Coturnix japonica: one gene and its partner. The protein of the gene in region 2 binds, or shares a complex with, the protein of the main gene of each other region. Links are inferred from orthologs where the notes say so. Each region holds a gene or a part of one and is shown on either strand. Other genes may lie near its edges.

Region 1 (5,025 bases), on a different chromosome or scaffold from region 2:
TTAAATGCACAGATGTAAAGTGCTCTTCATCCTGTAAATTTAAACATACGGAAAGCTTACAGACCACTTATCTGCTTGTGATCTATAAATAAATATGTTTTGGTTTATCTCCCTTTCTCTGCCTTAATCCTCTGCATTCGGTCTTCTCCAAAAGTCACAAACCAATGATTAATTGCAGCAACTCACTGAGGATGTAGTTGAAAAGATTGCAGTAGTTGTAGTAAGATTCAAATCTCTGCTCCAGAGTGGGCCCCCCCTGCAGCGAGAAGACATTACAGTCCATTTAGTCTGAAGTACAGCAAAACTAATGGTCCTTTATGGGCAATAGCCTACAAAGGACAGCCAACAGTCAAGGCAATAGATCTGTTTTGGTGACATTAGAGCTGATATTCAACCACCCACCAATCACTAACATCACCCAGAACAAATTAAATTGTCTCACTGTTGTCCAGTAGAAGAAGGCTGCCTTTTCAAGTCCAGGTAGCTTCTAGTACAACTAAGTGATGAAGTCTCATGTGAATAGAATACTTTAAGTCTCCTTTTCCTCCTCTGTGCTGTCCAGACCTAAGAACTGCCTATTAACCTACACAGCTTTTTGTCCTCTTCCCCTCAAGGAAGGTCTTTGTAAATCCCAACAACACAGCTGCTTCTAGACAATCATACCAAAGAATCATAGAATAGCTTGGAAGGGACCCTGCTGTGGACAGGGCCACCAGTTCAGCCCCCATCCAACCTAGCCTTGAACCTCCAGGGATGGGGCACCCACAGCTCTCTGGGCAGCAGTGCCAGTGCCTCACCGCCCTCTGCATAAAGAATAAGTTTTAAATGCTCTAGAAGACCGATAAACACAGGAGGGAATCACTCTTCCTAGAATTATCTTGTGTCACCTGTAGACACCCCATGGGCAGCTTGGGAACCTCCTACAAAATAACTCAAGCAACCAGTTTCACCTGTTCAGGCAAGTCTTTGATTTAGGAACTTCAAAAAGACTCCTGCATTAACCCATTTCTCCACCCTGTGGTCCAAACCAAAACTGCAATTATTACTCATTCACCATGTAAGTCACACACCTGTCCTGCTTCTTTCTTACAGCCAAGAACTACTCTGATTTTCCTACTGACTTCAAATTAGCCTTTTTAAGGGAAAGAAGCATGGTTTGTTGTTGTTGTTTTTTTAATAGACCATTATTCCTTCTGTCTTCTTCTCCTGTATCCTCTGTGGTGCCAGTTTCTTCCTATCCACAAAACACTCTGACCCCGTATGGTCTTTCAATTACAAGTAACTCAAACTCCTCTTGTGACACCCCCTCATACACCTGCTAGCCTGAAGAAGAAATAAAGAGTCATGAAGAAACACACAAAACTGACCTGTAAGTCATGCAGTTATACAGCTCTAACAGAGAGAAAATTCAGCTATTTCTAACTCGACCCATACCTCCTAAATCTATTCAATATTGTTTTGCAAAACTTTGGAACCACTGATGCTTTAACAGCAGTGCAACTTGTTCACTTTGATGGCAGAAGAACCAAGCGCAACTAAAAGACACAGAGCAAATACTCACGCTGACTTTGGCGTAGATATGCCTATAATACAGCTCCTTGTACAGGATGAGGAAAACTGCATCTGGAAGAGATGAGAGAACTGGATATCAGCAAACCATGAAGCTTAGGCAACTGGATCTCTGAGGCACCGGTGATGTTCCTACTGCCACAGTTACAAGGACAAGTAAAAGAGGATGCTCATTCATCTGACTTTCTGATAGGCATCTACAGAAGGAGCTGCCATAGCAAAGATGAGTGATTCATAAAAACCACATGCCAGCTCCCTAACACATCAAAAGTAATTTAGTTCCTTCATTCTCCTGTAAGGAAAACAGAGTGGAAAAGAAATGCTTACCATTTCCAACCTGTGGGGCAATGGCCTCTGCCTCTGGCCATGGGGTGTTCTTGAAAAACCTTTCTGTTAGCTTTGTCCAGCTGAAAGATAAGACGTGGGGTATGAGAAAACATCCCTGAGCATCACAGAGCTGCAGTTAGAAACCACAGTACAAAGGGCTTGGACTTGATAGGACACTGTCTCCCTTCAAAACTGGTGTTACTAAGGAATTAGAATGGCAAACAAAGCAGTTAAAAAACTGACCATAGAATGGCTTGGGTTGGAAAGAACCTTAAAGATCATCTAGTTTGCATCAGTATTACCGACAACTAAATCAGCTACCAGACTGAGTTGCCCTGGGTCCTATCCAACCCGGCCTTGAACACTTCTAAGGACTGGGCATCCAGAACCTCTCTGGGCTGCTCCAATGCCTCAACAGCCTCACAGTGAAAAACTATCACATCTAATTTTAGTTTTCAACTGTTGCCCTTGTCCTATCACTATCTGCCCATGTAAAAAAGCCGAGTTCCCTCCTGTGGGTAAGCTCCCTTCAAGTACTGGAAGGCTGCAATGAGGTCTCCAGGCTGAACAAGCCCAGCTCCCATCCTTTCTTCACAGAAGAGGTACTCCAGAGGTGGCCTTCCCCTGGACCCACTCCAACAGCTCTACATCTTTCTCATACCGGGGGCCCGGGGCCTTTAAGTATGGGAGGTTTTAAGCAGTGAGAATGCAAGGACAGCCCCGCACCTGTTCTCATAGATGTCCTGGATCTCATACACCTTCTGGTCAATGACATCGCTGGAGACTCGGCTGGCCTGCAGCTCGTACACCTTCTGGTCGATGAGGTCGGACACGGTCTTGTGGAAGTACTGGATGAAGTTCTTGATGACCTCGGGGATCACCTGGTACGTCTGCTGCTCGTACTGCCGCTCGTAGGCCAGATCCTGCTTCGGGTCTCCTGAAGGGAAAGAGGCGGGTTGTAAGCCCGAGGCCTACAGCCCCCACCCCGCGGGGCGGCCCGCACCGCGCACTCACCCGTGTGCATATCATAGTCGTTGGAGTAGGCGTACGGGTCGTAGGCGGCCTGTGAAGACACGATGCGGGGATGTTACCGCGACGAGCACGAACCGGACCCACAAACCCCCCCCCATCCCCGCAGCCCGCCCCCCGCTCGCACATCGTTGTCGTAGTCCTCCCCCGGGTAGGCCATGGCGCGGCGCGGGGCCTGGGCAGGCAGGAAGAGGAGGTGGGACCAAGCGGCACGCTCCGGAAGGCCGGCCGAATTTGTTTAGTCTCTCTATTGGTTAAAATAACTGCTTGTCTTCAGAGGCTTTTCTCTCTGATTGCAGAGTCCGCCTGCCCGTCTGCACTATGTCAGCGACGACCCTTCCCGCCCCTCCCCTCACACCCCGTACCGCCCGGCCCGGCCCGTGAGGGAATGGAGGCCGAGTCTGCTGCGGGGACGGAGTCGGAGTCCGCTCTGGGAGCCGGGATGGCGCTGGGAGGGGCGGCGGGGGAAGCCTCCCTCGGCTACCTGCACGTCCTGTGGCAGCGAGAGGAACCTGCCGGCAAGATCCCGGCCCGCCGCCTGCGCAGGGCCGCCCGCATCCACCGTCGCCTGGGGCCTACGGGCAAGGAGAGCCACGGTGAGCGGGAGCGGGTTCCCCCTTCCTCCCCTGCCCCCTTCCTCCTCCGTGCTTCACACTAATGGCTTTCTTTCCTCCCCAGCCCTGAAGAGGCTGCGTGAGGCTGCCAATGGCAACGACCTGGACACAGGTGAGACTTCAACCTGACGTGAAGCCACTTCCTGGAAAGGCAGTTTGTTCAAAGCTCTTTGTTTCAGCAGAGGACGAGGAGAAGGAAGGTGCAGGTAGTTTGCAGGAATCTTCCTTTAGTTGCTGAAGATCTAGAAGTTGCTTCTCTTGAGCCTTTTGTTCCGTTCTCTGAGCAGAGTGAGACTGATTGTTATATTGATTTTTTCACTGTATTGGGTCCAGCTGCCTCAGGCTAGATTAGCAATCAGCTGTTATTCCAGCTTTTTGGTACGTAACTTTTGCCCACTCATCAGCTCTGTGACTCTCTTGACTTCCATGTACTGTAGATCAGCTGGGTTTTGATCCTAAGCATTCATCAGCAATACTGGCATATGTCATTTGCCCCCTGTCGTGGTTCCTCCTTTGTCTGTTATCAGACCATGTTGTGAACAATCGGAAATAGACGGGATTTGTAACAACCCCTGGCATTACAGGATGGGGTGATGTTGTACCCTCCAGCTTTACAGTACACCTTGTTTCATGAACTGATGGATGCATTCATCTGTGAGCTCTGACCTTGTGCAGGGTCCATACTTACCTGCAGAAGAGCTGGTAGCATCACCCCTTTCTGATCAGGTGTCCCTTCAACTTACCTGCATCCTTTTCTTTCTTGGCACTGCCAGTGCAGCAACTGCTGGAGGATGGAACTGACCCCTGTGCTGCGGATGACAAAGGCCGGACAGCCCTGCACTTTGCCTCCTGCAATGGCAATGATCACATTGGTGAGTGGGAAGGGGATCTTCAGTCATCCATTTTCCATTTACTGTCTGCATAAGCTGGACAGAAACATCCCTTCTGCAGCCTGCAAGCTGCCACATGGACTAGTGGGTCAGCAGCGCACTGCTAAATGACCTTTCTTACGCCATTAAGGTGCTGTCAGTGGGGCAGAGGAAAGGAATTAACGTGTATCTGTGTTATTGCTTCCAGTACAACTGCTTCTGGATCACGGGGCTGACCCAAATCAGAGAGATGGGCTGGGAAACACCCCTTTACATTTGGGTAAGTGCCAGTCAGATGAGCTTTGCATGCAGAGAAATGAGGTGACCGCTGCATTTTATTTGTCCTCTGCATCTTCCTTTTTCCTCTTGCATCACACTATGCATCCCCAGCTTTAATGACTTAGGATTCTTAGCATTTTATTCACATCACCCCTCAGGAGAACTTAAAGGTCAGAGTTAGAGAAAATCCATTTCCCTCCCTCTGCCCATCCTGAGGAGCACGAGATGCATAACAAAAGTATCCAAGCTTGAGCATGAGTTATACTTAATGGTGGAGCTGTTCCTCTTTTTTATGGCAGAAAAACCTTTGTTTTGTATGGCAGAAACTCCATTGTTGT
Region 2 (5,093 bases):
GAGTGAATCCAGCCATATCCTAATCAGAACAGACCACGTTTGGTGGGGACGTGCTGGAGACCCCCAGAGATTCTCACCTCTTCCCATCAGGGTGAAAAGCAACACTATTTATCGGACCAAAATGACCCTTCACTCTGCCAAACTCTTCTTCAAAAGCCAAGTGGAAGAATCTGGGAGAAGAAAGAGGCAGGTTAGGGATGTCATCAGGGTTTCCTCAGAGAAGCTCTGCAATTCTAGTAACTCTCCAAATGCTGCCAATAGCAAGACGCTCTGGGAGCAGGAGAGAACTCCAAGTGCAGACTCAGCCCTGCCAGAGAAGAGCACCAACCTTGCCTCAAATTTGCCAATCCTGGTGGAGGTCGTGGTCACATCCATGGCCTCCTGCCCACCACCGAGCACAACCTGCATAGGAAGAAAGTCACAACACTGCAGTGCTGCTTACACCATATGTGGAACAACAGCCAGGGTAGGAGGGAGCCCAGCCTTGGGGAAGCCTCCCACTAACCCAGCACAGCCCATGACAGCAGTCAAGTCCCCTGGCCCTGTCCCACAGTGATTCTTTAGCTCAGGCTGAACTGGTGACACTGTGCCTTCCAGCTGCCTGAGACAATGCAGGAGCTGCACTAAGACCGTTAGTATGCGTGGGCTCATGCTTACGTGATCAAAAATGGGGGAGAGTGCAGCAGAGTTCACCGGTCGCTCTGTCCGGAATGTCTTCAGATGTTCCAGCGTTGTGCAGTCAAATAGCTAAAATGCAAAAGGAAGAGAGTGGCAGTCCAAGTATCTCATGCAAACCCCAGCTGCCAGTCCTCACATGAGCAGGTGTTACTTCTAAAGTCACTCCTGGGCATCCAAATGTCAAAGCTATTGCTCCAGAATCCCAAATATCAGCCCTCCCACTAAGCTTTGGCTCTACACCTGCTCAAATTCCCAAAGAGAAAACCACTGAGGCAGCCATGACTTTGAGCAGGGGTCCTGCAAGCGGATGTCAGCAATGCACCGCAGTCCCCCCAGGAGGCCTCACCTTGGCAGTGTTATCCTTGGAGGCAGTGATGAACATGGTCATGTCCCTGGAGGTCTGAATATCATTGATTTGCTTGGTGTGCTCCTTGATGTTTGAAAGCTGCTCCCCTGACTGAAGGGTAAACGAGGCAGTTTAAGTGAACTGGCAAGGAAAGTGTACAAACAACTTCTCTGCTAAAACCGACTTTAGATGTTGCTGTCAGCAGAAAGGTAGGCATATATATGTTCAGCTTTGCTGAAGAAAGCCACATACTTTAACTATCCTTCCTCAAGGCCACTGGTTTGAGCCAAAAAAACCCACATTCTGCCACATGATCACAACAGGAACGTTGCAACATCCTCTCCCAAGAGTTGCTGCCTGAGGGTGATGCTCCTCCTTATCACACTGACCTTGGCACTGAACTGGTTCAGCTCCCCACTCTCGTGTCCTGCGATGATGAATTCTCCCAAAGGGCCCCACACAGCACTAGTGATTTTAGAGTCGCTGCAGGGGATTTTCATGTAAGGCTCGTTGTTCTCTGCAGGAAGGAAGGATGGAGACACACAGACTGAGTGGCACCAGCTCTTGGCAGCCAACGCTTCCCCTTATTCCCAGTTGCAGGCACAGGCCCGGATTCCTCACCGATTTGGCTGGGGTCACGCAGGTCAAAGAAGCTCACAAAACACTGATAACCCATCTGCTTGTCCGTGGAAAACATGATGATGTTTCCTCCAAAGTCAAAGCCACACGTCCTCACTGCCGAGCTGGTCTTCACCAGAGCGAGCTGCTTTCCTGAACACGGAGCAGAAACCATCACTTCACTTGGTCTTGCATTGCAAACATTAATGAAAGCAATCAAACAGAAGTGCAGTCATAGAAAGAACAGGAGCATCAGAGCTGACAGACAGGTTGGGTGACTGGAAAGCACTAAATGTGCTTGGTGAGCAAAATGAATAAGTGCCCATTGAAAATAAGGCAAATACACAAACAGCCAAGAAAGGACTTGGGCTCTTTCAGGGGCAAACAGGCACATGTTGCACAGATCCCAGAACAGGACAGAGCTGAGTCAGATCCAGCCACGTGGGAGAGAAGAGCCTTTACCTGTTTCACAGTCCCAGAGCCGACAGCTGTTATCTGCAGAGCCAGTGAGCACATGTCGGGTGTCCCCTTGGTCAGCAGTTAAGGGATATCAGCACGTTTGCAGCCCCAAAAATCATTAGATACCCAGGGAGTATTTACACACAAGATTAAGAAGCTGCGTTACATTGAGAAATTACAGGACTTGGGAAACTTCCCAAGGAGCACAAATAACCAAGAGATGGCACAAGGGACAATTAAACACAGCAGCTGAATGGAGCCATCCGTGCTGAATCACTGCAAGGAACGAGAGCACAAACTGGTTGTGCACCCAAAGGATACAGTCAGCATCCACACACCACACGGCTCCTGTGTGCCCATTGTAGGTGCCCAGCCGTTCTCCATTCACCGAGTACCAAACGTTGACGATCTAAAAGAAGATAAAAAGGCTTGAAGAGCCGCTCTGACCAATTACCTGAGCTCGTTAATTACCCACCTTTATCCCTCCCCCCCCATCGCACACAGCCCGGTTTCCCGGTGCCCCCGGTTCACTCACGGGATCCTTGGCCACAGTGAACAGCAGGTCTCCCTCTCGGTTGTACTTGATCTGTGTGATGGATCGCTCGTGGCCCTGCAGCAGGATCGGCTTCTGCACGCGGCAATGAGGGAAGGCGCCATTTAACGCTATGCCAAGCGAGGCCGAGGCCCCGGCTGGGGCTCAGGCTGCCACCACCATCAGCCCAGGAGCCCCGCCGACCCCAGGACCCAGCCGGGACCCGCATCAGCCCGGCCCGGCCCACAACCCGACTCACCATGGCGGACACGGCGCTGCCGGAACCGGAGCGAGAGAGAAGAGGCGTGGAGTATCACGTCCGGGTCACGGGGCGCTATGGCGGCCGCCGGTGAGCTTCCGGGTTTGGGGGACGGGCCTCGGGTGGATCCCGGAGGGGCTGAGGGGACGGGGTGGGCTGTGTGAGGGGGCTGCGGGCTGATGGCGGCCGGGCCAACAGCCCCGGGGCTGAGCTGATGTTGTGCTGCAGGGCAGGCCGCCGTGCTGGTGCTGGTGTCGGTTCTATGGGGCAGCACCGGGCCGTTCCTACGGACGGGAGCGGCGGGGCTGTTGGACGTGCAGCGCCGGGGGCTCCTACGGCAGCTGCTGGCCGAGATCAGGTTCCTGGGCTGCAACTACAAGGTGAGCACAGCCGGAATCATGGGGTGTATGGGACGGGCCTTCATGCTCCTTCCTGCACTCAGCACCTCCCATCTATCAGCAAAATGATTTGTACTCTATAACATTTCATCTACCCACCTGCAGTCCTGCTCTTCTTATGGAGAACTTAGACACTTGTAGAAATTAACCCTCATATTTCACATTCAGACCTGCCTGCCTTCTGCAGACATGGCATCCAAGGCTTGCACTGCTTGCTGCAGGCATTGCAATGCTTTTCCATGCAGTGACCTGTCTTCTTTCCGCAGTACATGGTGCCATTCCTGCTGAACCAATGTGGATCGCTCCTCTTCTACCTCACCTTGGCATCTGCAGGTCAGCTCTCACTGCTTTGTCCAGTGGGTTGATCAGGGTTTGGGGAGGAGCTGTATTACTGATTCATTTGGTGATCTGGCTGAACATCAAGTATCATCATCATAGTATCACAGTCTGGTGTGGGTTGGAAGGGACCTTAGAGATCATCGAGTCCAACCCCCGGGATTCGAGCCTCCTGTGTAGCAGAGCGGCACTTCTACCACTTGTGCCACAGGGGGATTCAAGTAGATGTCTTTGAATGAAGGACGCATCCATTTCAAACCGTGTTACAATTGTTCAATTTCAGAGCTGTCCCTGGCAGTGCCGCTCTGTAACTCCCTGGCTCTGATAGTCACGCTGGTGACTGGAAGGATTTTGGGAGAGGATATTGGTGGTAAAAGTAAGTTACGCTTAAAACATTTGGCACGTTGTATTCTGCATCTATTTGTTGTTTTAATGTTGTGTGCTCCCTTCTGGTAACTGCTTAGGCAGTAGTTTGTGCAAGGAAGCTGAAAAGGAAGTGAAACTGACTTGTAAGGGGGTAGAGCTAGTGAATTTAAATTGGCTGGAACTGGCTGTTTTAAGCTAGCAGAACTTGTAGGCCTGAGCCTTCACCTAATGATGTATTTAACCATAAGAGAAATGTCCATACACTAACATTATCCTGCTTAAGAAGTTGGGAAATAACAGGAAACTTGAAAACTGAATAGTAGCAATAAGTACCAGTTTGGCTCACATCCATTTAGGCCATCTTTTTTCCTGACTGAATCACATATTCAGCAATGATGGGGGCTGACTGTGTTGAGCTGTGTATGTTCCCAACACAGAACTCTGTATCTCTGCAGGGGCTGTGGCAGGGATGCTGCTCACCCTCCTGGGACTCACCCTCTGTGTAGCTGGTTCATGACCAAGGCACAGTGAGCAGAGGAAACCTGTTCTAAGGTAACTGATGTTTGAAGAGGGGAAACTTTTGGCTCAGCTGCCTCAAGGAAGCTGTTCTGACACCTGGCTGTCTGAAAGTGTGGATCAAATTCCCTGAGTACCAGAGAGGAACAAGGCACATTGCAATGACATCCTATTTAATGCCTTGAGTTAAGGATGCTTTTTTTTCTGTGGGTGGTTCAAGGCAGGGATGATTGAATTGCCTTGTTCAGCACTGGAGGGGTAATAATTGATTAATAAATCATTGAAACAGAAAAAAAAAATCTTTGTTACTCTTGTAATTAATCAGCAACACGGGGGAGGGAAATACAGAAAGCCATCACAGCCCTTTAACTCTTCAGAGTAGTTTTGCGGCCAAGGAAAACATCATTCAGTGCTCCTCATCTTCAGAACTGTTGTCATCCCTTTTCCCTTAGACAGCGCTTTGTGATTTGCCTGTACTCCGTTCCTTTGGGCAGCGAGAAGAAAAAACACATTTATTACAAGTCAGCTTCGATGCAACCTCTCGACTTTCTGAAATGCTGAGCCCTGCAGTTACACCCTGTGCTT

The links. Proteins that work in one complex are often made in the same cells at the same time.
Region 1: EIF3I (region 2) and EIF3L share a complex: the UniProt entries of both Homo sapiens proteins name them as parts of the eukaryotic translation initiation factor 3 (eIF-3) complex. The link is inferred for Coturnix japonica from reciprocal best matches to the Homo sapiens genes EIF3I and EIF3L.

Annotation. Positions count from the first base shown.
Region 1 is NC_029516.1:46,630,365-46,635,389, forward strand, and holds the start of EIF3L (eukaryotic translation initiation factor 3 subunit L), read right to left. Parts: upstream 3,178-5,025; 5' UTR 3,086-3,177; coding exon 3,053-3,085; intron 2,960-3,052; coding exon 2,911-2,959; intron 2,834-2,910; coding exon 2,623-2,833; intron 1,977-2,622; coding exon 1,897-1,976; intron 1,624-1,896; coding exon 1,562-1,623; intron 257-1,561; coding exon 187-256; intron 1-186. Other genes in the region: ANKRD54 (ankyrin repeat domain-containing protein 54), read left to right, coding at 3,314-3,521, 3,604-3,651, 4,313-4,411, 4,617-4,688. UniProt on the Homo sapiens protein: Component of the eukaryotic translation initiation factor 3 (eIF-3) complex, which is required for several steps in the initiation of protein synthesis.
Region 2 is NC_029538.1:4,527,645-4,532,737, forward strand, and holds the start of EIF3I (eukaryotic translation initiation factor 3 subunit I), read right to left. Parts: upstream 3,011-5,093; 5' UTR 2,983-3,010; coding exon of another isoform or gene 2,970-2,982; 5' UTR 2,896-2,969; coding exon 2,893-2,895; exon of another isoform or gene 2,889-2,892; intron 2,730-2,888; coding exon 2,637-2,729; intron 2,511-2,636; coding exon 2,423-2,510; intron 2,171-2,422; coding exon 2,105-2,170; intron 1,796-2,104; coding exon 1,646-1,795; intron 1,542-1,645; coding exon 1,414-1,541; intron 1,136-1,413; coding exon 1,025-1,135; intron 748-1,024; coding exon 658-747; intron 403-657; coding exon 329-402; intron 171-328; coding exon 78-170; intron 1-77. Other genes in the region: TMEM234 (transmembrane protein 234), read left to right, coding at 2,970-2,982, 3,121-3,272, 3,557-3,623, 3,910-4,002, 4,448-4,509; DCDC2B (doublecortin domain-containing protein 2B), read right to left, coding at 4,911-4,992. UniProt on the Homo sapiens protein: Component of the eukaryotic translation initiation factor 3 (eIF-3) complex, which is required for several steps in the initiation of protein synthesis.